Linked DNA regions of Arabidopsis thaliana. The protein of the gene in region 1 interacts with the protein of each later gene in a biochemical or structural test. Each region holds a gene or a part of one and is shown in the gene's direction. Other genes may lie near its edges.

Region 1 (11,523 bases):
CAGCCCTACTTCACCAAGTTACAGTCCAACATCACCAAGCTACGGTCCTACGTCTCCAAGCTACAACCCTCAGTCTGCTAAATATAGCCCATCTATAGCTTACTCTCCTAGCAATGCAAGACTATCACCAGCTAGCCCCTACAGTCCTACATCTCCCAACTACAGGTAAGTAGTAATATCTTAATTTTTACACTTTCTATGAAGCTTCTCTTATCTGTTGTGGTGATATTGTGTCATCTTCTCTAATCGTTAACTCTTATTAAAAATTTACTCTGCAGCCCGACATCTCCATCATACTCACCCACATCTCCATCTTATTCACCTTCAAGTCCAACATACAGTCCCAGCAGGTTTGACTTTTACCCGCTTGAAAATCTTGGATCTGTTGTAATGCATCCATCTCAATTGAATTCCGCAAAAAGTTTAACTGGGTTGTTGTTATTAAATCTGTCTCAGCCCATACAGCTCAGGAGCAAGCCCAGACTACAGCCCAAGCGCAGGCTACTCGCCAACACTTCCCGGTTATTCACCGTCATCAACGGGTCAGTATACCCCACATGAGGGCGATAAAAAGGACAAGACTGGAAAAAAAGATGCCAGTAAGGATGATAAAGGCAACCCTTGAAAGAGAGTGAGAATTGGCAATCCATGTTTTAGGTAACGTCTAAATCTCTTGGAACCATTGGGGTTTACAAGTCTTACTAGCTCACGAACTTAGCCACTTGGGATATCGTGTAACCCGCAGGTCATGATTTAAGAGACAGTGAAAGCTGAGAAAAGGAAGGGACCGTTTCAAAGTGATCTTCTGTGGATAACTTTGTGAACAAGGTTTTCTTAATAGATCCTTTTTTCGTGAGTTGTATATTATTCCAAACTGATCCATAAATCCATCCAATCCTCATCCCCCAAAAAGAAAATAGTATAAACATAGAAAAACGAAAACATATCAGACTTTGGGCTTTTCGTATGGTTTAGTTTTTGGCTTTTTGCTGTGTTGTTCTATTTCAGAAAGTAAACATGTGAAACGGTTCATTTGTAATCCATGAAAGGATTCTTTATGTTACTGCTGTTGCTTCATTGAGTAGATACGAATCGAGAATGCCTTTTTTCCTTGTTTCCGACAATTATCGATTGACGTGTGACCACTTTAAAAGTTTAAACAGCTCGACTTTCCAATATGGGTTTATTTCTTGTTTTATCCACACCATTAAAGAATGGTTTTTGGGATTTTTATTTATGTGATAATTAATCATTTTTCCAAATTTTATTTTGTATATAATAAATGAAGCAAATGTTGGAAAACTATCCAATGGATGTGGTGGGTTAATATCACCAGATTCGCATAGCTGGTTTTTGACTTGTCTTCTTAATTATTTGTCCAGAAAAAGAGAAGAACTCTTCACATCATCATTGTCAACTTTAGCATTATTGTATTAGCTTTTTATTTCTTTACGTCTACAAAGCTATTGGTACAACGTTCTAAAATCAAATTCGTCATCAGTAGATTTTGTAAACTAATTAAGTAAAGTTCAGTGATTAAAGAAGCTAGATGAAGAACGTGTGCAACGACTCCTCTGAGATCTACACGGAATAATGTCGTCAGTGAGCAAACAACTCCCATCACGTCGTCCCTCCACCTGTCCTCTCTTCTCCTTCCTTGCTTGTCTTTCTCTCTCAAATCATTTCACCTAAAAATAATAAATATCTTTCGTTTTCTAAAGAAAAAAAAAAAAAAAACTTTTCAAATTCATCTTTGGTTTCTGCAGCAGCAACAACAACCGAGCCCTGTTCGTTAGGGTTTTCGGTTTTTGTTAGCTTTTCTTCTTCTTCTTCTTCGTTTCCTTCCACCTGAATTGTTGTAACCATGGCGGAGAAAGTATCGGAGGACGTTATGCTTCTACACGGTGACCTCGATTTGAAAATTGTTAAGGCTAGGAGGTTACCTAACATGGATATGTTCTCAGAACATTTGCGCCGTCTCTTCACCGCCTGTAACGCCTGTGCTAGACCCACCGATACCGATGATGTCGATCCCAGAGATAAAGGCGAATTCGGTGATAAAAACATCCGTAGCCACCGTAAGGTTATCACCAGCGATCCTTACGTCACCGTCGTCGTTCCTCAAGCGACTCTAGCTCGAACACGTGTTTTGAAAAACTCACAAGAGCCTCTTTGGGACGAGAAATTCAACATTTCTATAGCGCATCCGTTTGCTTATCTCGAGTTCCAGGTCAAAGACGACGATGTTTTCGGTGCTCAAATCATTGGCACGGCTAAGATCCCGGTTCGAGACATCGCATCGGGAGAACGCATTTCTGGTTGGTTTCCTGTACTCGGTGCTTCGGGAAAACCGCCTAAGGCAGAAACTGCTATTTTCATCGATATGAAATTTACTCCGTTTGACCAGATCCATAGCTACCGATGTGGAATCGCCGGAGATCCGGAGCGTAGGGGTGTTAGACGGACTTATTTCCCTGTGAGGAAAGGAAGTCAGGTGAGGCTTTACCAGGACGCTCATGTTATGGACGGAACGTTGCCGGCGATTGGGTTAGATAACGGGAAAGTTTATGAGCATGGGAAGTGTTGGGAAGATATATGTTATGCTATATCTGAGGCTCACCATATGATTTACATTGTTGGTTGGTCTATCTTCCATAAGATTAAGCTTGTTAGGGAAACAAAAGTTCCAAGAGATAAGGATATGACGCTTGGGGAATTGCTCAAATACAAATCCCAGGAAGGTGTTCGAGTTTTGCTACTTGTATGGGATGATAAGACTTCTCATGATAAGTTTGGGATAAAAACGGTTAGTGTTTTCACAAGTTCTTTGGATTCGTATTGCTATTTTTGAGCTTTTGGATTACTAGTTGTAATGTTAATTGGAGTTTCTGGTGAGGATAATTTATGTTTTGACAGGTTATTTGGTGTTTTTGACATTAAGATGTTGTGTGACATTTATTTTGCAGCCTGGAGTTATGGGGACACATGATGAGGAGACTAGGAAGTTCTTCAAGCATTCTTCTGTGATATGCGTTTTGTCACCCCGGTATGCCAGCAGTAAGCTTGGGTTGTTCAAACAACAGGCAAGTCCTAGCTCTTCTATATATATCATGACAGTTTTTGTTTGGTATGATGTTGATATGTTTTAGCTAAGGGGGTTTAGTCCCGCATGATGAGGGTTATTGCAAAGTTGGAAATTAGTTAATGTGGATGCTTACTTTCAATTATAAGAGATGTTCTGACTCTAATCCATGTCGCACCATTGTTTCTCGATTGTTTAGTTAAAGGCTCTTTCAACATGTGGGTATCAAAATGTTATGTCAATTTCGGCTTTGGCATAGTTATTATCTTTCCAAGGGATATCTTTTTTGATATCTGATGTTTAATGGCCAGGTTGTTGGAACTCTCTTCACGCACCATCAAAAGTGTGTTCTTGTAGACACTCAGGCTGTTGGTAATAATCGCAAGGTCACCGCTTTTATTGGAGGTCTAGATCTTTGTGATGGCCGTTATGACACACCTGAGCATAGGATACTCCACGATCTTGACACTGTATTTAAGGATGATTTCCACAATCCTACATTTCCAGTAAGTTTATTATTATATACCGGCTGTTATCAAGCTTGAATCCTAATTCTTTAGTTATTACTGATACATACTCTGTTTTTACTTCCTCAGGCTGGTACCAAGGCCCCAAGACAACCTTGGCACGATTTGCACTGTAGGATAGATGGGCCTGCGGCATATGATGTTCTCATAAACTTTGAGCAGCGATGGAGAAAGGCAACACGATGGAAGGAGTTTAGCTTACGTTTAAAGGGGAAAACTCACTGGCAAGATGATGCTTTGATCCGGATAGGGCGTATATCATGGATTCTGAGTCCAGTGTTTAAATTTCTGAAGGATGGTACTTCGATAATTCCAGAGGACGATCCATGTGTTTGGGTTTCTAAAGAAGATGATCCAGAGAACTGGCATGTTCAGGTCCTTGTTGATTCCTTCCAAACTATACTTATTTCATGTTAACAAATGTTGTTGATTTGATCTAACCACGCGGTTTCTTTGACTTCTAGATATTCCGTTCTATCGACTCAGGATCCGTGAAAGGATTTCCAAAATATGAAGATGAGGCTGAGGCCCAGGTTGGTCAATCAACTTATTTGCTATTATTAATTATCTTCCTTGAAGAATCACCGTTTATTCAATGAAATTTCTCTTTATAAGCCACCACATGGTATAGAAATTGCACTACTTACAAAGTCTTCAATATAATTTAACTGCAGCATCTGGAATGTGCCAAGCGTCTTGTTGTAGATAAAAGCATCCAGACTGCATACATCCAGACAATCAGATCTGCTCAGCATTTCATATATATCGAGAATCAGTATTTCCTGGGTTCTTCTTATGCTTGGCCTTCTTATAGAGACGCAGGTGCATTTTGATCTTTGAGTACAGTTCTTAGACTAGGAAATAAAATACTCACATTGCAGACAGCATGAAGTCTAGAATTGTTCTCAGTTACTAGTTTTGTATTTGTGGCTCTATTTTCACCTCACAGTTACCTGAACTGTATTAAATAAAGCTTAGTAACTTTTTCACCCGCGGATTTTCTGATTCTGTGTTCGTCTTGTATGAGCAGGAGCTGACAATCTTATTCCTATGGAGTTGGCACTAAAGATTGTTAGCAAAATCAGAGCTAAGGAAAGATTTGCCGTATATGTTGTCATACCATTGTGGCCTGAAGGCGACCCAAAGTCTGGCCCTGTGCAAGAAATTCTATATTGGCAGGTAACTTTGTTTAGCTGAGTGTAAGATAAGTGCCAATACCAAAATAGGTTGTTCCATTTCTTTAAAAGAGAAACTTACATTCTGCTAAACATCTTCTGTTCTTTTCATTTCGTAGAGCCAAACTATGCAGATGATGTATGATGTTATAGCAAAAGAACTGAAAGCGGTGCAATCAGATGCTCATCCTCTCGATTACCTTAACTTTTACTGCCTTGGTAAACGAGAGCAGCTTCCAGATGATATGCCAGCCACCAATGGCAGTGTGGTATAATCTTCAAACTTCTAAGACTAAGAATGTTTCATTCACAAAAACTGTAGCTTACAGATAGATAAATCATACATAAAGTTTCCTGTAGTAATCAGTGGAACAATTTCTTTATGATCATTTTAACTGCATTTTTCAGGTATCAGATTCTTATAATTTCCAGCGTTTCATGATTTACGTGCACGCAAAAGGGATGATAGTAGATGATGAGTATGTACTCATGGGATCTGCTAATATCAACCAAAGATCTATGGCAGGCACCAAAGATACTGAAATCGCCATGGGCGCATACCAACCTAATCATACATGGGCTCACAAGGGAAGACACCCACGTGGCCAGGTTTGCCTTCCTCCTAACATCTTCATCATCATCATCTATATCATAACCAAACCTCAAAAGTGTCTCTATATCTACATGGGGAAAGTTTCAAATTCCTGAATCCTGGATTTAAAAACAGTAAAGAAATTTGGGATAGCATTCGATCTTGCGAAAAAAATCACGTTCTTAGATACTTGAGAGAACTTGTGTTTCTACTCCCAGATTCTTGAACCATTATATATATTGAGTCTTCGTAAGACATAAAGAGCTTGATGATATCTCTATCTATCTACACAGGTGTATGGATACAGAATGTCACTATGGGCAGAGCATTTAGGCAAAACTGGAGATGAGTTTGTGGAGCCATCAGATCTGGAATGTCTGAAGAAGGTGAACACAATCTCTGAAGAAAACTGGAAAAGATTCATAGACCCGAAATTCTCAGAGCTACAAGGTCACTTAATAAAGTATCCTCTACAAGTAGACGTTGATGGTAAAGTAAGCCCTCTTCCTGATTACGAGACCTTCCCAGATGTTGGTGGTAAGATCATTGGAGCTCATTCCATGGCTCTTCCTGACACTTTAACCACGTAATGTGAATGTTCAATGTAAATTTCAGCATTTGTTTTGGGGTTTCTTTTGATCCTGAATAATATTAGCTGAAAGTGTTGTTTGAGTTGTTGTACATTTAACTGTGTTGTTTCTTTTTTATACATTCTTTTGTGATTGTCGTCAAATATTTGTTGGGGTGCAAAATGTAGAGATCGTGAGTGAGTGAAGAGGCAAAATAATTTGAGGATATTCTATTTTTCTCGGTTTTCTTTTTCAAAATCGGATAATGATGCTGTGTAACTGCGTTCAAAACAAAATTTCTGCTTCGACTTTTAATGTTAAGATTAGATGTGCCTATCGGTTCTGTTTACCCGAACCAAACCGAAGATTCATGGACACTTAGACAGATCAAAATATTTAATTAGCGGTATTAAACCGAACCAGACCGCAGACCGGAAATATCAATCCGGGACTGATTACGATTATTGTTATTTTCTTTTGTTGTTGCAGACACCATAAGAAACGTGAGTCTTGCTACATGCAATTATTGACTCTTGTAATAGTATAAAATTTTATTGAATAATTCATCTGTAGACAAGGGGGAAAAGAAAGACTGATTTTACGCTTTATTGCTCTCACTAAAACCCTAATTCTCTCCGTCTCGATCGCGACCTCTGTTTCTTCGGCAATGGTAAGCTTCCACGACTAAGTCTCTGTGTTCTTCTTGATCTTCGAGAAATTTGAGGTAATTACTTCGTTTTGCAGGCGGATTCTCCTCAAAGAAGAAGGTTAGATTCAAGTTTCTATTGCTTCGCATTTCGGAGCTGTTATTGTTCCTAAATCGTTCTCTTTTGTTTTTTTACATGTTTCAACAATTTTGAATTGCATTACATTTGCGTAGGGTTGTGAATCTGACGAATTGATTTTGGGAATTTTGACTTTTTAAGATCTAGTATTGGAGTCTTTTTCTATGTAGTTGTAGTTCTTCTTAATTATGTTTTGTTGCAAATGCTATTTGATTGGGTATTTGTAGCTCAGAGGACTGATAAAGAGCTAAATGTTTCTAAGTAACAAGTCTCAGTGTAATCTTTTACTTGATTTCTGCATCAGGGATTCACGATCTCCTTCACCCCGAAAAGAACGAGCTAGATCCAGATCCAGGTCTAGGTCCAGGTCTAGATCCAGGCCCAGGCTTAGGTCCAGGTCAAGATCTTTGCCAAGGCCTGTTTCTCCATCACGAAGCCGTGGAAGGTTAGTTATTGCGCAGTATAGGGTTTTCTTATGTAGATTTTGGGTATGTCACTGAAAATTTCTGAAGAATATTGCGTGGTAATCTTTTTTTCATTACCTGTACACTTTGTAGGTCAAGGTCAAGAAGCCGTGGAAGGTTAGTTCCAGCTTTCTCCATATGAGTTTGCATTCTCTTGTTATCTGTAATTCGTTTGATATTTTTGCGATATTTTGAATTTTGGTTGACAGAAGTGAAGTTGAAAACCCTGGTACCACTCTCTATGTGACTGGCCTATCTACAAGAGTCACTGACAAGGATCTTGAAGCACATTTCGCCAAGGAAGGAAAGGTGATAACATCTATACCTGATTCTCATTTCTCATACTACCAGTTTAAGTCTATTTTGTGTCTGCATTTTTGGGCATATAATCTTTGATCATATAGTTTACCATTTTCATTTCCATAGGTTGCGTCTTGTTTTCTTGTGATGGAGCCGCGCACCCGTGTGTCTCGTGGTTTTGCCTTTGTTACAATGAGCAGCCTTAAAGATGCTGAGCGGTGCATTAAATATCTCAACCAGTCTGTACTAGAAGGCCGATACATAACTGTGGAAAGGGTAAAATTTCATGCTCTACTGATTTTGGTGGTAGTTTGAGATCATTATTTGTTGACTTGGAGGTTTTCTGATCATTCAGAAAATATTGCATCAAGCAACAATCAGAGATGATAAGAGTACTCATCCTTGCTCAACATCATTAAGTGAAACACAGCTTGATCAATCGAATCGCCAGCTTAAACATAATCATAAGCAACTATATTGCCTCAACTCTCAACTCTCAACTAGTCAAAGGACATTATCAAGTATCAACAACTATTAGTCAAGTGTTTCTCCAGCCTAGGATGCATCTTGTTTCCTTGAATATACCTATGGCTTTTCTAGATTGAAAGTTGTGTTCCATTACATGAGCTTTATGTACTTTGTGCTTTCTTCAGTCCAGGAGAAAGCGCCCGAGAACTCCCACCCCAGGCCACTATCTTGGCTTGAAAAGCTCCAGAGACAGCGGTAATTGAACATTTCAAACCTCGTAGTTATTATTGAGTCTCTCTCTAGACAGATGAAAGGTTGCTAACTGTTCCGTAATCTTTTTGTTGTTTTGATAAAAAAGATCGAGAAGGCCGTAGCAGTCGAGGGAGGCACTATGATCGTGATGATTACAGAGACCGTAGGTCACCAAGACGCGACTATTCACCTCGTGATGAAAGAAGGTCTAGAAGAGATCGGTCTTACTCTCCTCATGGAAGAAGCCCAGAGAGAAGATCAGAGAGAAGGTCTGAGAGGTCAGAGAGAAGGTATGAACCCCGTGGCTCGAGATGACCTGTTTTCATCCTTTTGACAAAGGATTCAAAAACTTCTCTGTTGATTTAGGTTGTGTAATTGATCATCCTTAAAATAGCACAAAGATTCTGTCAGGCAACGCTTTGGGTTTCATTTATTTTCTGTTGTTAACGTGTTATTCTGTCGGAACTCTCTGAAGTGAAAACTAAAAACTGTAATAGCTTCTCTGTTATGTCTCTACTCTACTTGTTTTTGAATGAATCAGAATATCTTATGTGATTAGAATCTTTAGATTGTTCGCAATTTTTTGTTAAACAAAAAGGTGGAGATACCAAATTAAAGCTTGAAAGTTGAAACTTAACTAAAAACAAAACCCCAAGTTGTGACCAGAGACAAAAATAATCAATCGTATATACTTGTTTAATTATCGAATACTAACACAAACCTCATCAAGAATTGGCGTATTTGTGCCAACAAAGCAACATAAGAATACATCTTCTAGCTATATAAAACCTAGAACGTCTCTCCTTCACCATGGCTAAACATCCTTTATTCCTCCTCTCCATTGATTCTCTGCAACATTCTTCTTCCCTTTTCCTCTTTCTCCTCATCTTTGTCGCCGATGAGCATTGCCCCATAATTGTTCTCTTCTCTTTGATTACTTCGTTTCTTCACACTTTTACGTTATTGCTCTTTTTGTGCTCTACGGAGAGATGATTTTTCGTTATAAAAGACAAATGGAAGAAGAAGAAGAAGAAGCAATATTAAAGGGACCAAATGTGAAAAGAGTGGAGAGGAAAAATAAAATGAAAAAAGACTATAAATAGAGGAGTGGTGGAGCAATGATGATGCGATGACGTTCAACATCATTAAGTTCTTTCATTTATTTACGTATTCGTAAAGAAAATATATTATTTCATTTTGCATATGTACTTACGCGATTAAACAATTCCACATTACTACGCTTTATCATTGTTACTTAAATCGTTTATTAGTGGAATAATTGTCTTTGTGTCTAATACCATAAAAGATAGTACTAAAGTCTTCATATGACTAGATCATCCCTTCCGTTTTTTAACGTTAATTCGTATGTTACATTTCAAATCATTTATTGTGGCTTATTAAAGATATACTATAATGTAAGGATCGGAGAACTAATGGTGATCATGTAATGAAAGACAAAACATTGTCACATATATTGTAATTATTTTTGGTTTTCGTTATTAATTAATTGTTAGTATCTTCCGGATTTTGATTCATAAACCAACCAAAAACGCGTCTCAGGTGGTTTTAGCGTACCCGACGTTGCAACTGGCTTATCTTTTTCCTACACGTGTCTTCCTCTGGTTGGTATTATATCATACGTGTAAAATGGACTTTTACCTTAATTAACCGCATCTTATGGTCATCAATTCATTTCTTAAGCTACTTTTTTAATTTATTTGTATGACTTTTCTTATCGTTACTTATTTGATTAAACCTTTCTTACGCCATTTTTTTTTCTCGACAAGTATGTTGCATGAATTCATATTGGAGAAAAATTAAAGATCAAATAGGATTGAAATTGTTTGGTAAACCGCATCCAAAACCGCACCGCAACAGTGCTGTAACAGTATCAAAATCTCTACATATACATATGTATCTATGTATTTTCGTTACTATTTGAACCGCACTGCACTTTTTCCGCACCGCAAAATGCAGTCACCATTCGGACCCTAAGTTTAGTTATAAGAAGGGCTTCTTCGTAAACGCAAAAGCAACGTACGTCAGCATGAACTGGTGGAAGAGAATAAAGTATCTGGAAGAAGAGAAGGCAGTAGTGACCAATCATTGGTACTTGATTGGTTTACGCCACGTCATCACACTTTCCTTTCACAGCTGTATAATATTCCCCTCTTCTTGTTTTTTCTTGACAAAAAGAATAAAAATCATTTTTTTCATTTTCTTATTTTTATTTCGGCTGATCATTTTTCCAGTTTCTGGATACATTTTATGATTTTAATTACCGAACCAGATATGGGATATGGTTATAAGCGTCGTCATATGGATATTGTTGTCGCCATTTTCATTTTGTCTTTAACTTTGCGAACGTTGCCCACTTGCCACTTTATTTACTTGTGTTAAAGTGTGTAAAATACCAACACCAAGCAAATATGGGCCACAAGGCCCGACAAAAATGATCTGTTGCGTTAGGATTGAAATTTGAAAGGCCTATTATCATTTAGGCTCACTCGTACCTCGTACGTATTGCTATTGCCTATTGGTTGTAACAAGATCAACTTTTATGTAATTACCAATATTAAACTTATAGTGTTATACAACAAATAGTGAAATAAAAACAAACATGTCCATTAATATGTCATCATATTTGTATCATAAGTAGCAAAACATAAAAAAAAATATATATAAAAAAGTCATCACCATCCACCATCATCTCCTTTTCTTTTTGCTTCATAAACATGAAAACCACCATACATTTATCTCGAAGCCAAAAAAGCAAAACTGTCCATTATCCATTTAAAGCATTACAATAACTAAAAAAATAAGAGTATTCTCGTGACCCACACTCATATGGACCCTACATAATGACGTGGATGAGTCCTACGTGTTACACAACGAAACGTTCATGTCCTCCCTGGCTTTCAACCCAAACTCATACATTACACCCTCTCTCTCTCTTCTCTTCAATTTCCGTCTTCTCACTCTCTAATCTTTTCGCCTTTAGTTGAATCTCTGGGATCATTCTACCTTTTTGTGGATTTAGGATCGAAGAAGAGATCACTCCTACTGTTGAATTCTGGTTTTACTTGAGAGAGTTTTTCAATTCTGATCTGCTGTTTTGCGATGGCGATCAAAGAGGAGACGGAGGAGAGTTGCGGAAGCAGAGCCGTGGTAGCTTCAATAACGAAAGAAAGCCCTAGACAGCACCGTATGAAACTGGAGGTGTACGGTGAGGTTCTTCAACGAATCCAGGAATCCAATTACGAAGAAGCTAATTTCCCTGGTTTTGATGATCTCCTCTGGCTTCACTTC
Region 2 (9,813 bases), on another chromosome or scaffold:
GGATTCAGAGAACGTAACTGTGATTATGGTTTTTGTTGCTACTATTTGGGAAAATTCTTATCTGTATCTTAGGCTGAGAAGATACTACATTTTAGAGTAGGTTTCTTATTGTGGTTTTTCAGTTATCTTTAAAGAAGATGATAGTTTTGGTAAATGAATCTGCGTATGTGGATTTTGTGCCTTTAATTTTCTTTTGGCTAAGTGGTAATTTTATCTTTCATTGTAGGTTTTGATGATACGAGCATTTCTTTTGGATCCGTTGAAGGTACTTATCTATCACTATTAGTTTGTTTATTATAGTATCTTGCTATGTATACAAAGAGACGAGCTTTTGTTTGTCTACTGCCTCTTGAAGTTGTCTTTTAAGTTGGTCGAAAACATCTCCCTGAGTGAGCAATAGTAGAGGTATGAACTTGCTTAGTGAAGTGAACATTTGGGACTGAAACAAATAGTAAACATGACTGTGCCGTAGAATTCACAGGCAGTTTCTGTGTTAGATGGTTTAGTTTTGTTTCTAGAGGATGTGTGTGTGTGTGTGTATGTTTGAAAAGTGTATATATATCTATGTTTCAGCTAATGGCAGGCCAGCCTTAAACCTTGAAAGGCGTCTTGATCATGATGGTCATCCTCTTGCAATCACTACAGCAGTTGATGCTGTTGCAGCAAATGGAGTTACTCCTTGGAATTGGAGAGAGACTCCTGGAAACGGCAAGTCCTCAGAAAAAGCTTATATAAACTTAAGCCTCAAAGTTTAATTTTCTATAAGGCTAAAGATATGTTTTTTGAACTGTATGTTTATGTTCCAAGCATGGTGTAATATGTGTAAGAATCCACGTTTTCTCATTTTGAGGTTGCTTCACAGCCTCTGCTCCTCTGCTTGATTTATTCGTTCGGTCTCTTTATAACTGAGTAGAGCTTTTCATTTGTTTCATGTTTATACAAGCAGGTGATGATAGTCATGGTCAGCCTTTTGGTGGTAGGGTCATAACAGTGAAATTTGGTGACTATACAAGAAGAATCGGTGTTGATGGTAGTGCAGAAGCAATCAAAGAGGTAATCAGATCTGCTTTTGGGTTAAGAACTCGAAGGGCTTTTTGGTTAGAAGATGAAGATCAGATTATTCGCTGTCTTGACCGAGACATGCCCTTAGGGAACTATCTACTCCGTCTGGATGATGGTAAGATTAAATTTGCCACTATTCGTATCTTTTGAACTGTGTGTGTGTTTTTTACTGAATTGTCAGTATGCAAAACCCATCTTGCAGGACTGGCCATTAGGGTTTGCCATTATGATGAATCCAACCAATTACCAGTCCATTCAGAAGAGAAAATCTTCTACACTGAAGAAGACTACCGCGAGTTTCTGGCTCGACAGGGATGGTCAAGCCTGCAAGTTGATGGTTTTAGGAACATAGAAAACATGGATGATCTTCAACCTGGTGCTGTGTATCGAGGTGTGAGATGAGGAAATGAGATCACAAAACTTCTTCTCCAATTCTATCAACAGTTATCTGATCAGAAAACAGTCCCCTGTAGATATGATCTCATTCTCTTTATACATTTCTTCTTTTTTTCATGTACTTGCTCAAATATGAAATATCATAACTGGCATTTACCGTACAGACCAAGAAGACCTCAAAATAGATTTTTGGTCTGTTACATTTGTAAGAACAGAACATAAGAGAAGTGAATAAATTGTTCACAATCAGACGAGCGAGTGTTTGTGTGTGGTATCAGAGTCATTCTTCATCCCTTTTATTGTTCTTGTATGAAATGAGTGTGTTCGACCTTGTCAATCTGCAAAGCCAGAGAAACTTTCTGAACTTATACTACTGAGAAAACACTATAATGATTTGATTAACAAACACTAGTATCAAAGAATGTAATTCAACCACTCTCTTGATCCAGGTGAACGGTACAGCCACATCGGTATCAGTAAATGCTCCCAACACAACAAACACACCTTATCCAACCGCCAAGCCGATTAATGTCTCTCTCTCTTACATGTTTCATGGAGACAAGGCAAGCAAGTTATGCTGGAAGCAACTTGTCTCATTATAGCTTGAATCTCCCTCGTGATCTCCTTATTACTTTTCTCCTTTGAGACAGCGTGAAAAGGAGGAAGACAGAATCAAGACAGCATAAACATCACAAACATACAAATGAAACTGAGTTAATTGAAATGTTTATGCATAAATAAACCAACTTCTAGATCTTAAATATCACGTAAGTGGAATAACATTGGTTATAAGCAGATCATCAGGATAAGATTCCAATAGTTAAAGTTTTGCGTCAATAATTGTTTTTGTCGAGAAGGTTTGCATCAATTATTGCATCTTTCTTTCTATCTTTTTTTTTCTTTCTCTTAGAATCGAATTTTAACATATACTTTGATAATGATATATTGTGGTTCTTTTCACTTCACGATTACTTTAGAACATTGTGAATAATGACACTTCAAAATAAAAGGGATAAGATCAGAAATAACATATGAAAATTCCACAAAATCACTACAAATAATTCAGATAATGAAAAAAATACATGTACGTTATGTTATAAAATTCTCAAATATGGTTTTCAGCAAAAATAAATTTGGTTTTTTACTACAAAGTACAAACCAAAGTAAATTGATTTTACAAAGAAAAACGAATTAGAAAATCGTTTTTAAATCATAGAACTTATTCAGTCGAAGAGAATGGCTGACACTTGACGGGTCAGTTATAACTTATAAGTGGACTCTTGGAAATGATCATGAGTTATAGAAAGATCACAAACTTCAATTTATGATATATTGTTGACCTCAGATAATATTTTAGCTATTTATTGGATGTATAAAGATCCATATGAATACCAAAAGAAGGAGTTTTATAACCATTCACCTAACAAAAATGAAATGGAAAAAGAAAAGAGAGCAAATAAGAGGAGGAGAAGAAGAAGACTTTTGGCAAAAGCCAAGAGTCATACCTATTAGTCTATTACATAAGGTGTGATGTTTTTTTTTGCTGTCACATTCCATCTGACCTACCAAAGCTCTCAAAGTGGAGCATCTATTGTGTCTTGGTATAGAGTCACGATTAGATAAATATACAACACCATATGTACTTGTGTCAAATTATAAATATTTGAAACAGTAAGCAACCAGTAATTCGATAAAGACGTCTACAAGCATCTACACATCTAAATTGATTAAAACAAAACACCTTTAAATATAGTGTTTATGAAGTCAAATCTTCACCTTGATTATTCTAAAACAATGGTTGGAGTAATGTTGCTGAATGTTGAGTGAGAATTGACATTTGAGAGTAACTTTCACTATAATGAACTGGATGATAAAGTTGATCCGATAATAATTGAATTTACCATGAATGGTATCACAAGATACATGTATAGAAGACAGTGGTGTTACTTGTTACGCAAAATTAAAAAATGAGCATACTATTGCAGTTACTTTGGATTTATTAAGGAAAATTATGGTTTGACAACAACAATAATACAAAATCTTATGAAAATTAAATAAAAAGAAAAACAAATTTGGCTATTGGCAAAGCTCATTGGCTGTCAAAAGGAATATATACAAAATCTGCTACGTTGCAGTCTTGCGTGCACCGGCCCAGCCCATAGGATTAGAGTATTAAACCTCGAATATTCCATCAGCCTGCGCGTGAATCCAAGCGCCATTAGTTTCCCCAAATCAGTTCTTAATCCTACCCATAAACGATGGGTAAAAATGGTAAATAAGAAAGAAAGTAAAGTACAATATAGTAATATTAATTAGTGAATCTAATCTATTAGCCTTTTTCCCAAGAAAAAATCTCAGCCACTCGATCATATTTTCAATTTTCATCATCACGTTCTTCTTCTCTTTTAAATAACCCTAAATCCTCACCAAACCCAAACCCTCACTCACTATTTTCACATTCTCTTCTCTCTCGATATCATCTAAATCTCTCTCGATCTCAATTTCGCAAAATGGGTAAGCTTCTCGCTCTTGTTGATCTGCGATTCTTCGATTTATTGTTCTTTCGTTGATACTTTTTGAATCTGATCGTAATTTTGGTTTGTGTAGCTGACAAGAAGATCAGAATCGGAATCAACGGTGAGTGTTTTTCTTATCGAATTCCATAAGTTTTTTGGTTAGGTTTAAGTGATTTGGATCTGTAGAAGCTGAGTTTTGAATCTTCGTGAAGGTTTCGGAAGAATCGGTCGTTTGGTTGCTAGAGTTGTTCTTCAGAGGGATGATGTTGAGCTCGTCGCTGTTAACGATCCTTTCATCACCACCGAGTACATGGTTCGTTTCTTCTTCTCTTCGATACTAGTTCGTATCTGGATTTGAGTTAATAGTTTTATCTGAATTTTTGTTAATATACATGATGGTGTGTGCTGTTTATCATATAGATCTGAGAACTTGCTTTGTTGTATTCTTCTTCTATGTTGATTCTCTGTAAATTCGTTTTGACTGATTGTGTATATGGTATCGATTTGTTGCAGACATACATGTTTAAGTATGACAGTGTTCACGGTCAGTGGAAGCACCATGAGCTTAAGGTGAAGGATGACAAAACTCTTCTCTTCGGTGAGAAGCCAGTCACTGTTTTCGGCATCAGGTACATAATCATGGATGATTTTATTATAGTGGTTCTCTGTTATGTTATTGAGAGTTGTGAAATTCTGATTTGTGGTGTTTTATTTTTGAAGGAACCCTGAGGACATCCCATGGGGTGAGGCTGGAGCTGACTTTGTTGTTGAGTCTACTGGTGTCTTCACTGACAAAGACAAGGCTGCTGCTCACTTGAAGGTTTGAACTTGGATCTTTTATATAATAGTCGAGAACTTGTTTATTTAAGATCTATATCATCATCATATTGTTTCATTGTTATTCAGGGTGGTGCTAAAAAGGTTGTCATCTCTGCCCCAAGCAAAGATGCGCCCATGTTCGTTGTTGGTGTCAACGAGCACGAGTACAAGTCTGACCTTGACATTGTTTCCAACGCTAGTTGCACCACTAACTGCCTTGCTCCTCTTGCCAAGGTATCTTTTTCTGTTTCAACCCATAAACTTGTGTAAATTGTTCTGAATTCTGAATTTTAAGTTGAATCATTTCTCTTACAGTTGCAATCTATTTGTGCAGGTTATTAATGACAGGTTTGGCATTGTTGAGGGACTCATGACCACTGTCCACTCTATCACTGGTACGTATTTATATTTGGTTTCATTGGGTTGATTCTTGAAAATATGTATATTTGACTCAATAGTAACTGTTGTTTTGGTGATCAGCTACTCAGAAGACAGTTGATGGTCCATCAATGAAGGACTGGAGAGGTGGAAGAGCTGCTTCCTTCAACATTATTCCTAGCAGCACTGGTGCCGCCAAGGTATCATTTCAGCCTCTTATTTGTTTTAATTGATTTTGATTGAGAAATTATGTTGAATCTGATTTTTGTATCATGGTTGTTGATAGGCTGTTGGGAAAGTGTTGCCATCCCTCAATGGAAAATTGACCGGAATGTCTTTCCGTGTTCCAACCGTTGATGTCTCAGTTGTTGATCTCACCGTTAGACTTGAGAAAGCTGCAACATACGACGAAATCAAGAAGGCCATCAAGTGAGAACCATCAAGGACCCTCAGTCCTAACCATATCATATTAGAATTTATTGGGTACTTACAAAAGATTTTGGTTAAAACTTTTCAGGGAGGAATCTGAAGGCAAAATGAAGGGAATTTTGGGATACACTGAGGATGATGTTGTGTCTACCGACTTTGTTGGTGACAACAGGTATAAAAAATATTGTCTGTAGAGTGATATACAGTTTTCTGATCTTATAAATGGCGAGAGCAAATAATTGAAATATTGGGTTTGTGTTTATAGGTCAAGCATTTTCGATGCCAAGGCTGGGATTGCATTGAGCGACAAGTTTGTGAAGTTGGTGTCATGGTACGACAACGAATGGGGTTACAGTTCTCGTGTCGTTGACCTTATCGTTCACATGTCAAAGGCCTAAGCTTACACCGGCGAGAGTTTGTGTGTGGTTGAGTTCGTACTGTTCTGAATAAAAAAAAGGAGAAAAGAAAACTCGAGTTGTTATGTTTTTTCACTGATTCCATGCGCAGTCATGAGAGTTTGTAGCTTTTGTCTTTTTGCTTTCTCTTAATGTTTCCCTGCTTTATTTACTGAAACCATTGGTTTGGTTTTTTATGTTAATTAAGTTTTTAGTTCATTACTTTCTCGTGCTAACTCAAACCCAACTGGCAACTGGAACATTGAACGTCCTCTTCTCGTATTTTTAATAGTCTATTTGTACTTGAGCTTCTCCACCAAAATGGTTCTTCCTAGTCATATAGCTCACATTAGGTCAATCATCTTCGATTGAAAGCAAAAGTTACTGAGACGGATTTATTGGTTGATAAGCATCGCCACATTGTTTTTTAACGAATCAGCCAAGTTTGTTGAAACGGAGGATCAAAAATTGGAATTTAGTATTTCCTTGCAATTGCGAAGATCCAATTTTTTGGTTGACATCATTGTAAAATGATTGATATTATAATTTTATTTGCATGCTAACTTTTAAAGTTAATAGGAAACTCGTATTTTCAATAGTGACATGTTATTGCATGTGATAATACGATTATTTTATTACTTTATTAGTCGTAAATGAAGAGTAACATGCCACTATTGAAATGGTACTCATGAGATCACACGCTAGTTATTAAAGGAACATAGAAGTAAAGAAGGTTTTTATTGCAACATCAAAGAGAACAAAAACCACACATCAGTTGTAATGATACATCAAAGTTATATATATGACAATGTAACTTTTATTATTAAATAACGCATTCAAGAACACTTTTTCTGCAGTTCTTCACAAAGCACACGCATAATTCTAGAATTTCAAACCGGAACCTTTGAGTTTCTCCTCGACGATCATATCGATTTTATTTACCATTTCAGAGGTCATATAACTCTTCCAGTCACCAACTTGTCCTTTACGGAAATAAGTCTTGTAATCTACTCCACCCAAGGATCCAGTTTTGTTGATCTCCAAACTGCTTAAATTACTTAGAGAGCAAAGTTCCAAGATCTTGTCTACAGTTCCGCTATCTTCCTCTTCCTTAGTGAATGGACAATCCAAGAACTCTGCAAGTCTCTTGACCTGAGTACGAGGCTCCGCTTTCAACTCCTCGTACCTCATGAAAAGAAAATGCTTAGGATCTTCCAAGCTGCCTCGCCAATAGCTCTGTGCATGGTCCCAAAAGGGACCGTGTAGGGTAACTCCGTTGCAGAATGACTCAAATATAGCCTTGAAAGAATAATTCTCCGCTCGAATGATCTTTTCATTTTGGCTAAAATCTCCCCATTCTACTCCCTTGTTGGCATTGAGGAAACACCAAAGTGACACCAACACGTCTTTCACGTTCCTGCACACGTACACTACCTTGCAAGGAGACTTCTTCAAGGGTAGTTTAAGCGCGTCCAAGGACATATGAGTTGAGAACAATCTCGGAGATGATGATGATGATGATGATGATAAGAACTTGGTCAAGTCCGGTTTTGAGCTGTTGAGATACAGATCTAGCTCGAGGTACGGTACTATCTCATGAGGGTTATGAGATAGCAGAGGATGATGATGATCTTCTAACGAGTGTTTTGATCGTTGAACGAGTGCAAATGTGAGTGCTTTGAGCCAAGTCGTGCCCGATTTGTAGAAAGAAGCAACAACTATATCGGTTTCTTGTGGCTGAAAACTCGAGTGTATATTGGGGATTGATTGGAGAACGTCTTCGTAGTACCAATATCCTTGGTACTTGAAAAGCTTGTTCCCAAGGTAATCTATCTCCCAAGGAAGTGAAGAGATCAAAATTTTGGTTTCTTCGCTTTGATTTTCTTCTTCTTCTTCTTCTTCTTCCCTCAAGTTCCTTAGAATATCTTTCTCATCCATTTTTTTTGGTTCTTGTTTTGTTAAGTGAACATTTTAGTTGATTTTAAAGTGCTAAACTTAAATGCAGCATTTTACTAATATAAAATTACGCTCCATTATTGACCTTATATACATAGAACAAAATAATGTTATAATCTTCGACTTTTTTCTAACAAATATTAACCAATCATGTCACTAAGAAATTAAAAAATACTAGTATATAGGAATCTAGTCCATTGTATATATCGTAAACATGGACACTTCACCAACGAACATGCATGGGGTCTTTTTATAAGGTTCTTTATACCGAAACCATTGTTTTGGTTTTTATGATAATTGAGTTAGTTTTGTGGCTTTTCCGTTCAACTAAAAGTCTCATTATGTCAACTGCTATTAAACCGGCGCACATGGCATGTTTTATGAAATTAAGGTCAATTGGACTCCAACTTTTCAATTATTAAAAAAAAAGAAAAATGATTGTTGTATGCCTTGGCGAAGAAGAAAAGCCGCTAGCTTTATTCATTATCAAACGAAACAAAAACAACAACACATCACTAAGAATCTTAAACTCTTAACCTTACATCAAAGTAACTTTTATTACATTGCATACAAGAAAAGAACAAACCAGCATTATTAGGTTTGAGATTAAACCTGTTCCCACACATATACATAGAGATATGAACTCTACAATTTCAAACCAGAGCCTTGAAGTTTCTCCTCAACAATCATGTCGATTTTGTTTTCCATTTCAGGAGTCATATAACTCTTCCAATCACCAACTTCCCCTTTACGGAAAAAACTCTTGAAACTTACTCCTTCCGACAAGCTTCCTGTTTTGTTGATCTCCAAACCGCTAAGGTTTCTTAGAGAACAAAGTTCCAAGATCTTGTCTACACCTCCACTATCTTCTTCTTCCTTTGTGAATGGACAATCTAAGAACTCTGCAAGTCTCTTGATTTGCACACGAGGCTCCGTCTTCAACTCCTCGTACCTCAAGAAAAGCACATGCTTAGGATCTTCCAAGCTTCCTCTCCAATAGCCTAACACATTTTCCCATAAGGGACCGCATAAGTTAACTCCGCTACATAAAGACTCGAACAAAGCCTCGAGACTTAAATTGTTTTCTCCACTCATGGAGTTTTCGAAACACCAAAGTGATACCAATACGTCTTTCACGTTCCTGCACACGTACACGATCTTGCAAGGAGACTCTTTCAACGGTACTTTAAGCGCATCAAAGGACATGTGGGTTGAGAACAATCTCGGAGATGATGATGGCAACTTGGTCAAATCCGGTTTCGAGCTTTTGAGATAAAGATCGAGCTCGAGGTACGGCACTAGCTCATGAGGATTATGAGTTAGCAGAGGATGATTGTCTGAAGTGTGTTTTGATCTTTGCGCGAGTGCGAATGTGAGTGCCTTGAGCCAAGTCGTACCCGATTTGGGGAAAGAAGCAACAATTATATCCGTTTCTTGTGGCTGAAAGTTTTTGTTGAAATTGAGGATTGCTTGGAGAATATCTTTGTCGTACCAACATCCTTGGTACTTGTACAACTTGGTCCCTGAGCAATCTATGTCTGAAGGAAGTGAAGAGATCAAACTTTTGGTTTCTTCACTTTGGTTTTCTTCTTCTTCTTCTTCTTCTTCCTTCAAGTTCCTTGGAATATCTTTCTCACCCATTTTTGTTTTTGCTTTTGTGTCGAGTGTTGTGACTTATTGCAATCGCAAAATTACTATTTATAGTGTTGGATGTTAACGTAGTAGTTGATCAAACACTCACGTTACACACGTTGAAAGCTGATGTGTACAAAACATGTGATCTTTCATATCTTGAGAGATCCTTTATAACGTTCATGAAATAACGTGGTGGTTGATTTATTTTTTTCAACCCGTAATATAAG
Region 3 (9,891 bases), on another chromosome or scaffold:
CCTTTTAAAGATAAAATTCCTTTTAAAAGTAATTTTTCATTTTCTTCAGAAACCTTTCGGTCATAACCTTCTCTTATAAAATAATAATCTCTTCTTACGAATCAAAGGTCTCTTATTCGAAGGGCAATAACATTTGACCATAAAAAAAACCCCATATATATATACAGTGTATATATATATTTTTGCCCCTTTGTGAAGAAAATAAAACAATCAGAGATGAGCCCTAAATTTTCCAACCATGCGACCGTTTATGTGATCCATCGTTGCGCGGGTATATCGAAGATCGTATTATGAGTCTTTTTATGATCGTATTATCCTTTGTGCGAAGTACAACTATTGAACAAGACGAGAAAAAGTTTTCATTGCGCAGGTAAGTCGCGAGGGAGATGTATTCCATAAGTATTCTATAAGCCAAGTCTCCTAATCTCCCTGGTAACGTTATCTCATTCCACATGTACTCTATAAGTATTCGCGAGCGTGTGGTTTCGATAGAGTAATAATTTAATGATTGTAGAAGGAGATGACTGTGGGATCATCCTAGACTAGAGTTTTAATCTCTTGATTTGATTTTTCCTCGACGAGTTGAACTAACCAGCTTGTGATTTTTTTTAGCTTCTCGGGTTGTGGTAGATTTTATTATATATCACTTGGTTGTCCTATCACTTGAACTCGAATATTTACTTCTACGAATTGACTTTGCGAAATAAGCTAATATATCTAGTATTATGGTTTCCCCTGCATATGTATTTTACATTGTATTTAACCTGGATTTTGAAATCAGTTTTAAAAGTAACTGTTGAAAACATAAATTAAATAAAACTTTTTTTAAGGCTCAACTATACTTTAGAAGGAAATAAATGTGTTTCCTAGTCAATTTGTGTCGATGAACAGTACACATTGACTTTGATTGTGTGCGATATCGCGTTAGTTTGATTTAAAATGATTGTGACCATACACTTCAGAAAATCAAAATGCAATTTGACCGGAAAAAAAAAATGGTCCAGTATAATTATTATTCCATGGCACAAGTAGATATGGAAACACCATTGTTTATAACCCAAAGCGAACGTTACAGAGCTATACAAGAAATTATATGGAGATTCTGTTTTCTATTTCCATTCTTGCTCTTCTCTTTTCCGGAGTAGTAGCTGCTCCAAGCGACGATGATGTTTTCGAAGAGGTTAGGGTTGGATTGGTGGTTGACTTGAGTTCTATACAAGGCAAGATTCTGGAAACTTCTTTTAACTTAGCGCTTTCAGATTTCTATGGCATCAACAATGGATACCGAACCAGAGTCTCTGTTTTGGTCAGAGACTCCCAAGGAGACCCGATCATTGCTCTTGCCGCCGGTGAGTTTTCATCTCCCTTATTCAATTATTGCAATTTTTGGTGGGATCCACAACTCCTCTTCATTTAAAGCAGACTGAATCAAATAAAAAAGAATTGACCTAGTCCCGCCGGTTTACTCCGGTTAACATTCTCATGTCTTGCACTAACCGTTTTGCACTGCAATTTGTGTTTGTATGAAACAGCTACTGATCTTCTCAAAAATGCAAAAGCGGAAGCCATTGTTGGTGCACAATCATTACAAGAGGCAAAGCTTTTGGCGACGATTAGCGAAAAAGCTAAAGTTCCGGTCATATCTACTTTCTTGCCAAACACGTTATCTTTGAAGAAATACGATAACTTTATTCAATGGACGCATGATACTACATCAGAGGCTAAGGGAATTACAAGTCTCATACAAGATTTCAGTTGTAAATCGGTTGTGGTTATATACGAGGATGCTGATGATTGGAGTGAGAGTTTGCAAATATTGGTTGAGAATTTTCAAGATAAAGGAATCTATATCGCTCGTTCTGCTTCTTTTGCAGTCTCATCATCAGGAGAAAATCATATGATGAATCAGCTAAGGAAGCTTAAGGTCTCAAGAGCATCGGTTTTTGTGGTGCATATGTCCGAGATTCTTGTTTCTCGTCTCTTCCAATGTGTAGAGAAGTTAGGTTTGATGGAAGAAGCGTTCGCTTGGATCCTCACTGCAAGAACCATGAACTACTTGGAACATTTTGCAATAACTAGGTCGATGCAAGGGGTCATTGGTTTCAAATCTTACATCCCTGTATCTGAAGAAGTTAAGAATTTTACTTCAAGATTGAGGAAACGTATGGGAGATGATACAGAAACAGAGCATTCTAGTGTAATCATCGGTTTACGCGCACACGATATCGCTTGTATTCTAGCAAATGCAGTAGAGAAGTTCAGTGTAAGTGGTAAAGTTGAAGCATCTTCGAATGTATCAGCTGATCTTCTGGATACAATTAGACATAGTAGATTCAAGGGTTTGAGTGGTGACATCCAAATCTCTGACAACAAATTTATCTCAGAGACATTTGAAATCGTGAATATTGGAAGAGAAAAACAGAGAAGGATAGGATTATGGAGTGGTGGTAGTTTTAGCCAAAGAAGACAGATTGTTTGGCCTGGCAGGTCTCGTAAGATCCCAAGACACCGTGTTTTGGCAGAGAAAGGTGAAAAGAAGGTGCTTAGGGTCTTAGTTACCGCAGGAAACAAGGTCCCGCATCTAGTGTCGGTGCGTCCTGATCCTGAAACAGGTGTTAATACTGTCTCTGGATTCTGCGTAGAGGTTTTCAAGACTTGCATTGCTCCTTTTAACTACGAGCTTGAATTCATACCTTACCGTGGAAACAATGACAATCTTGCTTATCTACTTTCTACTCAGGTGTGAAAATGCAAACAGTTTAAAAACATTTTTCTAGTCAAAAATGATTATGTATGTTTCTAATAATGTGTGTTTGCAATTTTGACAGAGAGACAAGTATGATGCAGCAGTTGGTGATATCACCATCACTTCCAACAGATCTTTGTATGTTGATTTTACTTTGCCGTACACTGACATTGGTATTGGAATCTTGACAGTGAAAAAGAAAAGCCAAGGGATGTGGACCTTCTTTGATCCTTTCGAAAAATCCTTGTGGCTAGCAAGTGGAGCTTTCTTTGTCTTAACTGGGATTGTTGTTTGGTTAGTTGAACGGTCCGTTAATCCGGAATTTCAGGGCTCTTGGGGACAACAACTTAGTATGATGCTCTGGTTTGGTTTCTCAACCATTGTATTTGCTCACAGTAAGTGTTTATGTTAGAGTACTACTCTTCATGAAATCCCATCCTTTTGTATATTTTGATCTATAACAAATTACGCACATTCTTGGCAGGAGAGAAGCTACAGAAAATGTCATCAAGATTCTTAGTCATAGTTTGGGTTTTTGTGGTGTTAATATTGACTTCAAGTTACAGCGCAAACTTGACATCAACCAAGACCATTTCTCGCATGCAATTAAATCATCAGATGGTTTTCGGGGGATCTACGACGTCAATGACTGCGAAGCTCGGATCCATTAATGCAGTTGAGGCCTATGCACAACTTTTGCGAGATGGAACTCTTAATCATGTCATCAATGAAATACCTTATCTCAGTATCCTTATCGGAAATTATCCGAATGATTTCGTAATGACAGATAGAGTGACTAATACCAATGGCTTTGGCTTTGTATGTACCCTTCTCCTCAAACCTCTCATTTTCTCTCCATTATTTGGTTACTTATTCTTGTTACGTACTAATTTATGTTTACCTCTCAGATGTTCCAGAAAGGTTCGGATTTGGTTCCTAAAGTATCGCGAGAAATCGCGAAGCTAAGATCATTGGGAATGTTGAAAGACATGGAGAAAAAATGGTTTCAAAAACTGGATTCACTAAATGTACATTCCAACACCGAGGAAGTTGCATCTACCAACGACGATGATGAGGCATCTAAGCGATTCACCTTCCGTGAGTTGCGCGGTTTGTTCATCATTGCGGGAGCTGCTCATGTTCTCGTACTAGCCCTACATCTCTTTCATACGCGTCAAGAGGTATCACGACTATGCACCAAACTTCAAAGCTTCTATAAGTAAAAAGTGATCCATCGTTCATAAGCTCTACTATAGCAATTGACGGGACAGGACTCATAAGTAACAACAAAGTACACTTCGAAACAAATTTCACATGTAATACTTGTTTTTTTTTCCCGTTTAAATTCACATGTAATAATTTAATTCACGTAAATACTAAAGTGATTCACCCATCACGAAGTATTTTTTGAATTAAATACATCAACTAATCGAGTTTTTGATAGGGACTTTTGCTTTTTTGAATATTGCTTATCAAATCAAAATTTTCAAATTCTTGTCCATATACGCCTATCAAATATCTTCTTTTAAAGAAAGTCTCCTAAAGAGTTGAAAACTTGAAATATATACTTTTCTAAAATATAATTTTATTTGGGCGTTACGTTCTAGAAAATGGAACCCGTCTACTAAAATGGGCCGCTCGTGAACTCGTGGCAGTCAAACACTGGTCGGCGCATAAAAGCATATCCAAATACGCTGCGTTTCATGCTTACCCGACCCGTCTTAAATATTTAAAGAATATTCCAGATTAGCGCGTGAGATGCAGTTGCCATGTCTCGCCTCAGGAATGACGACATTTGCCAAAATAACAGAGCTACAACGGTAAATAAGGAAAATGATTAAGGGCAATTTGGTCTTTTAGGTTAAGAAAAGTATTGAATCAGATCTGACTTTTTGGCCAAGAAAAACTCTCAGCCACTAGATCATTCCGACCCCTCCTCCACGTTCTTCTCTCTTTTAAATAACCTCTTCACGGAACCCTTCTCACTCACCTATCTCACTCTAAAATCTCTCTCTGCCAATCTCATCTTCAACCTCTCTCTAACTCTCGTTTTCGATTCTACAATGGGTTAGTCTCTCGCTTTTACTAATCTCTCGTCCCGTCGCTGCTATTTTACGTTGTTGAGTTTTCTGATCTGATCGTTTTTCTGATTTTGTTTGTTGTTTTATGTAGCTGACAAGAAGATTAGGATCGGAATCAACGGTGAGTTTCGAATCGATTTTGTAATTCGGGTTTGTATGTTCTCATGTATCTAGATCTAGAATCTGACTGTTGATTTCTGTTATCGTTAGGATTCGGAAGAATTGGTCGTTTGGTTGCTAGAGTTGTTCTCCAGAGGGACGATGTTGAGCTCGTCGCTGTCAACGACCCCTTCATCACTACTGAGTACATGGTTAGTGTTCCTTCCTTGGTTTTGACGGTGATTCGATCTTGGTTTGCTTCAATATTATTTTGATCTCTTGACGATAAGATTCTGTTAGTCGCTCTGGTACCTTTGCTTTCGTTAGATTTGATAGATGGATCATATCATTTATGGATTATGCATGTGGATTTAAGTGTCAGATGATTTGTTCAATTAGTGCACAGATCTGGAAACTGGTTTAGTGTTCATTGTTCATACTGTTTAGCTGATCAGTATACTTGTGGAGCTGTTGTTTGTTTTGCTGTGTTTGTAATGTTATTGATTAGCCTGTTTGTGATTAGAGTTGATATGGTTGAGTTGATTTTGATTGCGCTCTGTGTTTGATTGCTGCAGACCTACATGTTCAAGTACGACAGTGTTCACGGTCAATGGAAACACAATGAACTCAAGATCAAGGATGAGAAGACCCTTCTCTTCGGTGAGAAGCCAGTCACTGTTTTCGGCATCAGGTACATTTATCAACCAGTTCTCTGTCTCTTTGCGTGTATACATATTACAAACTGTTGTGAATTTCAATCTCATTAGTTTTTGGTATTTGTGAAGGAACCCTGAGGATATCCCATGGGCCGAGGCTGGAGCTGACTACGTTGTTGAGTCTACTGGTGTCTTCACTGACAAAGACAAGGCTGCAGCTCACTTGAAGGTTTGTCTTATTTGAATTGGTTATTTTTGTCTTGTAATGATATAAATAGTTTATGTGCTAGAATTTGCTTAGTATCATTCAACTAAATTTGTGACTTGTTGTATTTTCAGGGTGGTGCCAAGAAGGTTGTTATCTCTGCCCCCAGCAAAGACGCTCCAATGTTTGTTGTTGGTGTCAACGAGCACGAATACAAGTCCGACCTTGACATTGTCTCCAACGCTAGCTGCACCACTAACTGCCTTGCTCCCCTTGCCAAGGTAAAATATCTGATATTCTATATGATCAAATTTGACTTTGTATTTCAAGTTGAAGTGACTAATTTCATTTAACGTTCTTTGATTTCATTGTGTAGGTTATCAATGACAGATTTGGAATTGTTGAGGGTCTTATGACTACAGTCCACTCAATCACTGGTAAATTTATCAATCAGTTAGAAGTTTATTACAAACTTGCTTGCCTATAGGTGGAAAATTTGTGATTTAATGGGGTTTGCTTTATGATTTCAGCTACTCAGAAGACTGTTGATGGGCCTTCAATGAAGGACTGGAGAGGTGGAAGAGCTGCTTCATTCAACATTATTCCCAGCAGCACTGGAGCTGCCAAGGCTGTCGGAAAGGTGCTTCCAGCTCTTAACGGAAAGTTGACTGGAATGTCTTTCCGTGTCCCAACCGTTGATGTCTCAGTTGTTGACCTTACTGTCAGACTCGAGAAAGCTGCTACCTACGATGAAATCAAAAAGGCTATCAAGTAAGCTTTTGAGCAATGACAGATTAAGTTTACTTATATTCCAGTAGTGATCAAATTACTCACCAAGTGTTTTTACCACCAATACATAGGGAGGAATCCGAAGGCAAACTCAAGGGAATCCTTGGATACACCGAGGATGATGTTGTCTCAACTGACTTCGTTGGCGACAACAGGTCGAGCATTTTTGACGCCAAGGCTGGAATTGCATTGAGCGACAAGTTTGTGAAATTGGTGTCATGGTACGACAACGAATGGGGTTACAGTTCCCGTGTGGTCGACTTGATCGTCCACATGTCAAAGGCCTAAGCTAAGAAGCAGATCTCGAATGATAGGGAGTGGAAAGTCATCTGTTCATCCCCTTTTATGGTCTGAATTTGTCGTTTTCGAATAAAATTTCTTTGAACTTGGAACTTTTTTTTTTTTTGGTTTTCTTAATTCTCATTCATGTGAGGTGATGGGAGTTTGTAGACCGATGTTTTACTGGAAGCCCTTTGTTTTTGGCTTTTGATATATTGAGTTAACGTTATGGTTTTCAATTTTGTTCCACTTCTCTTTTTAACTATATACTAAATCAAATCTGAACGAAAAATGAAACTAAATGAGCTCCCGTTGATGATGACGTAGCAAATCTAAGGAACTAGAGGTGTACACTTATTAATCTAGCTTCTTCTAGTTTTCGAATAAAAGTTTCTAAGTGGAACCTATATTTTATGTTTGCGATTCTCATTTATGCGAGTTTGTAGACTGATGTTTGAATGAAAAGTATTTCATGTTGCCTTTTGTTATTGATTCTTCTCAAAACATAAGAAATTCATTAACAGATGTGCGGTTTATAAAGACAACGAAATATGTGTTCATCTGTAAAGGTACTTTGAACAAATTATTAAACCATGTTACACAAATTCACGTATAGTGGCACTTCAATTATTTGTACACATCCGCATCGAAAAAATGGGGAGGTCGTTGATATACGACACAAGAAGGCCCAATGCCAAAGCCCAGTTGGTCAAACACAAAGCCTAACCGGTTTTTCAAACCAGACGGTGTAAAACGCTTCCAAAACCAGAGAGCCCAACTTTGGGCCGTAAACCCTTCTCTTGCGATTAGTCCTCCTCAAATTTCTCCGGCAAGAGGCCGTCGTCATTTTCACAATTTCCCTTTGCTCCATCTTTCAGGTACGATCTTTGAGTTTCATGTCTAACTTATTTTCGTCATATGTCACTAGTAAGATTCAAATTTCATTGATGATGATAAAAATTTGATTTTCCTATGGTTGCAGTTGAAGAACCCTGTTCTGGGTTTTAGATTTAATGTCTTGGCTTATTCAAAATCGCATTGGAAACACCTTGTTACGCCTTAATCCTTCTTCGTCTTCTATCGCTATTTTCTCTACGTTTATCAAGAATCTCTCTACTGCTTCGGAGCAATTACCTGAGACACTTGATGAATATTCACAGTCTGAGGAGATATGGAATGTTATTGTAGGTAGAGACGGTGATAGAGATAGTGAAGATGATGTTTTTAAACGTCTATCTAGCGATGAAATCTGTAAAAGAGTCAATCTTTCTGATGGTTTGGTTCATAAGCTGCTTCATAGGTTTAGAGATGACTGGAGATCTGCGCTTGGTATTTTGAAATGGGCTGAGTCTTGTAAAGGGCATAAACATTCGAGTGATGCTTATGATATGGCTGTGGATATTCTCGGCAAGGCGAAGAAATGGGATCGGATGAAGGAGTTTGTGGAGAGAATGAGAGGAGATAAACTTGTTACTTTGAATACAGTTGCTAAGATCATGAGGAGATTTGCTGGTGCAGGGGAGTGGGAAGAAGCTGTGGGAATATTTGATAGGTTGGGTGAATTTGGATTGGAGAAGAACACGGAGTCGATGAACTTACTGCTCGATACGCTTTGCAAGGAGAAAAGAGTGGAGCAGGCCCGAGTAGTTTTGCTACAGCTGAAGTCACATATTACACCAAATGCTCATACGTTTAATATCTTCATTCATGGTTGGTGTAAGGCAAATAGAGTTGAGGAAGCTCTTTGGACGATCCAAGAGATGAAAGGTCATGGTTTTCGTCCTTGTGTTATTAGCTATACGACGATTATAAGGTGTTATTGCCAGCAGTTTGAGTTTATTAAGGTCTATGAAATGCTAAGTGAGATGGAAGCTAATGGGTCTCCTCCGAATTCTATTACTTACACAACTATTATGTCTTCTCTTAATGCACAGAAAGAGTTTGAGGAGGCTTTACGGGTTGCTACAAGGATGAAAAGATCCGGCTGTAAACCCGATTCTCTTTTCTACAACTGTTTGATTCACACGCTTGCTCGAGCTGGTCGGTTAGAAGAAGCTGAGCGGGTTTTCAGAGTCGAGATGCCAGAGCTTGGTGTTTCCATTAATACATCTACCTATAACTCTATGATTGCTATGTATTGTCATCACGATGAGGAAGATAAGGCGATTGAGCTTCTCAAGGAAATGGAAAGTTCAAACCTTTGTAATCCCGATGTTCATACGTATCAACCCCTGCTGAGATCTTGTTTTAAGAGAGGAGATGTTGTTGAGGTTGGGAAACTATTGAAAGAGATGGTGACTAAACATCATCTCAGCCTCGATGAGTCGACTTATACTTTTCTGATACAGAGGTTATGCAGAGCTAATATGTGTGAGTGGGCGTATTGTCTATTCGAAGAGATGATTAGCCAAGATATCACGCCGAGGCACCGCACTTGTTTGCTGCTCTTGGAAGAGGTCAAGAAGAAGAATATGCATGAATCAGCTGAGAGAATCGAACACATTATGAAGACTGTGAAACTTACTGCACCTGTAAAGTGAGGTTTATTAGTTATTATGACGACTTGACTGTTACTTCGCAGATTGGGATGAGAAGTGGTCTCTTCATGCTTGCGAAAGAAGACAAGACCAGATCATGCATAAAGATGTTCATTGTGTTGTTTATTCAACCACATTGTAGTGTAGATTTCAAGTTCGTTGGTCAATGGATATGGACAAGAAACTTGGACTTCGTATTCATGAAAAGTTGTTAAGATTGGAACTCTGGAGTTGATTGATCTGACACATTCTTGATGATAAGAGGTTAGGCAAGTTTTGTTTGTTTTCTGTTTTGACTCGATCTTTGCAAAGGTCTCGAGACATCTCAAGATCTAGAGTTATGGCAGGCTTATTCACATCAAGACTAATTTATGGGAGAGTTTACACAAGTGTGGGATCCAAGAGCATATTTTTTTTTGTAATGAGCATTGAGTTTATGGACAAATACATGTGCATTTGGATGCGTCCACACTTCACAGTTCACACCGACAGAAAGGTA

What was found.
Region 2: the proteins of PLDDELTA (region 1) and GAPC2 form a complex in vitro, tested with the Arabidopsis thaliana proteins (one study listed by BioGRID).
Region 3: the proteins of PLDDELTA (region 1) and GAPC1 form a complex in vitro, tested with the Arabidopsis thaliana proteins (one study listed by BioGRID).

Annotation. Positions count from the first base shown.
Region 1 is NC_003075.7:16,950,217-16,961,739, reverse strand, and holds PLDDELTA (phospholipase D delta), read left to right. Parts: upstream 1-1,569; 5' UTR 1,570-1,864; coding exon 1,865-2,806; intron 2,807-2,966; coding exon 2,967-3,116; intron 3,117-3,393; coding exon 3,394-3,588; intron 3,589-3,678; coding exon 3,679-3,984; intron 3,985-4,073; coding exon 4,074-4,142; intron 4,143-4,283; coding exon 4,284-4,431; intron 4,432-4,639; coding exon 4,640-4,788; intron 4,789-4,903; coding exon 4,904-5,053; coding exon of another isoform or gene 5,054-5,059; exon of another isoform or gene 5,060-5,192; coding exon 5,193-5,393; intron 5,394-5,669; coding exon 5,670-5,966; 3' UTR 5,967-6,222; downstream 6,223-11,523. Other genes in the region: NRPB1 (RNA polymerase II large subunit), read left to right, coding at 1-165, 279-350, 457-625; AT4G35785 (RNA-binding (RRM/RBD/RNP motifs) family protein), read left to right, coding at 6,613-6,615, 6,690-6,712, 7,035-7,175, 7,288-7,311, 7,404-7,503, 7,621-7,770, 8,148-8,217, 8,321-8,529; RTFL6 (ROTUNDIFOLIA like 6), read right to left, coding at 8,940-9,128; STY17 (ACT-like protein tyrosine kinase family protein), read left to right, coding at 11,335-11,523. UniProt on the Arabidopsis thaliana protein: Hydrolyzes glycerol-phospholipids at the terminal phosphodiesteric bond to generate phosphatidic acids (PA).
Region 2 is NC_003070.9:4,604,650-4,614,462, reverse strand, and holds GAPC2 (glyceraldehyde-3-phosphate dehydrogenase C2), read left to right. Parts: upstream 1-3,584; 5' UTR 3,585-3,968; coding exon 3,969-3,972; intron 3,973-4,065; coding exon 4,066-4,095; intron 4,096-4,186; coding exon 4,187-4,287; intron 4,288-4,487; coding exon 4,488-4,603; intron 4,604-4,694; coding exon 4,695-4,794; intron 4,795-4,880; coding exon 4,881-5,027; intron 5,028-5,127; coding exon 5,128-5,188; intron 5,189-5,273; coding exon 5,274-5,371; intron 5,372-5,457; coding exon 5,458-5,600; intron 5,601-5,688; coding exon 5,689-5,772; intron 5,773-5,865; coding exon 5,866-5,998; 3' UTR 5,999-6,386; downstream 6,387-9,813. Other genes in the region: GT-1 (Homeodomain-like superfamily protein), read left to right, coding at 227-265, 574-708, 947-1,177, 1,265-1,464; ST4C (sulfotransferase 4C), read right to left, coding at 6,878-7,933; ST4B (sulfotransferase 4B), read right to left, coding at 8,597-9,592. UniProt on the Arabidopsis thaliana protein: Key enzyme in glycolysis that catalyzes the first step of the pathway by converting D-glyceraldehyde 3-phosphate (G3P) into 3-phospho-D-glyceroyl phosphate. Essential for the maintenance of cellular ATP levels and carbohydrate metabolism. Binds DNA in vitro.
Region 3 is NC_003074.8:1,076,268-1,086,158, forward strand, and holds GAPC1 (glyceraldehyde-3-phosphate dehydrogenase C subunit 1), read left to right. Parts: upstream 1-4,674; 5' UTR 4,675-4,809; coding exon 4,810-4,813; intron 4,814-4,918; coding exon 4,919-4,948; intron 4,949-5,037; coding exon 5,038-5,138; intron 5,139-5,501; coding exon 5,502-5,617; intron 5,618-5,711; coding exon 5,712-5,811; intron 5,812-5,921; coding exon 5,922-6,068; intron 6,069-6,163; coding exon 6,164-6,224; intron 6,225-6,317; coding exon 6,318-6,558; intron 6,559-6,647; coding exon 6,648-6,864; 3' UTR 6,865-7,423; downstream 7,424-9,891. Other genes in the region: GLR1.1 (glutamate receptor 1.1), read left to right, coding at 1,094-1,349, 1,533-2,740, 2,829-3,141, 3,231-3,565, 3,655-3,969; AT3G04130 (Tetratricopeptide repeat (TPR)-like superfamily protein), read left to right, coding at 7,869-9,395.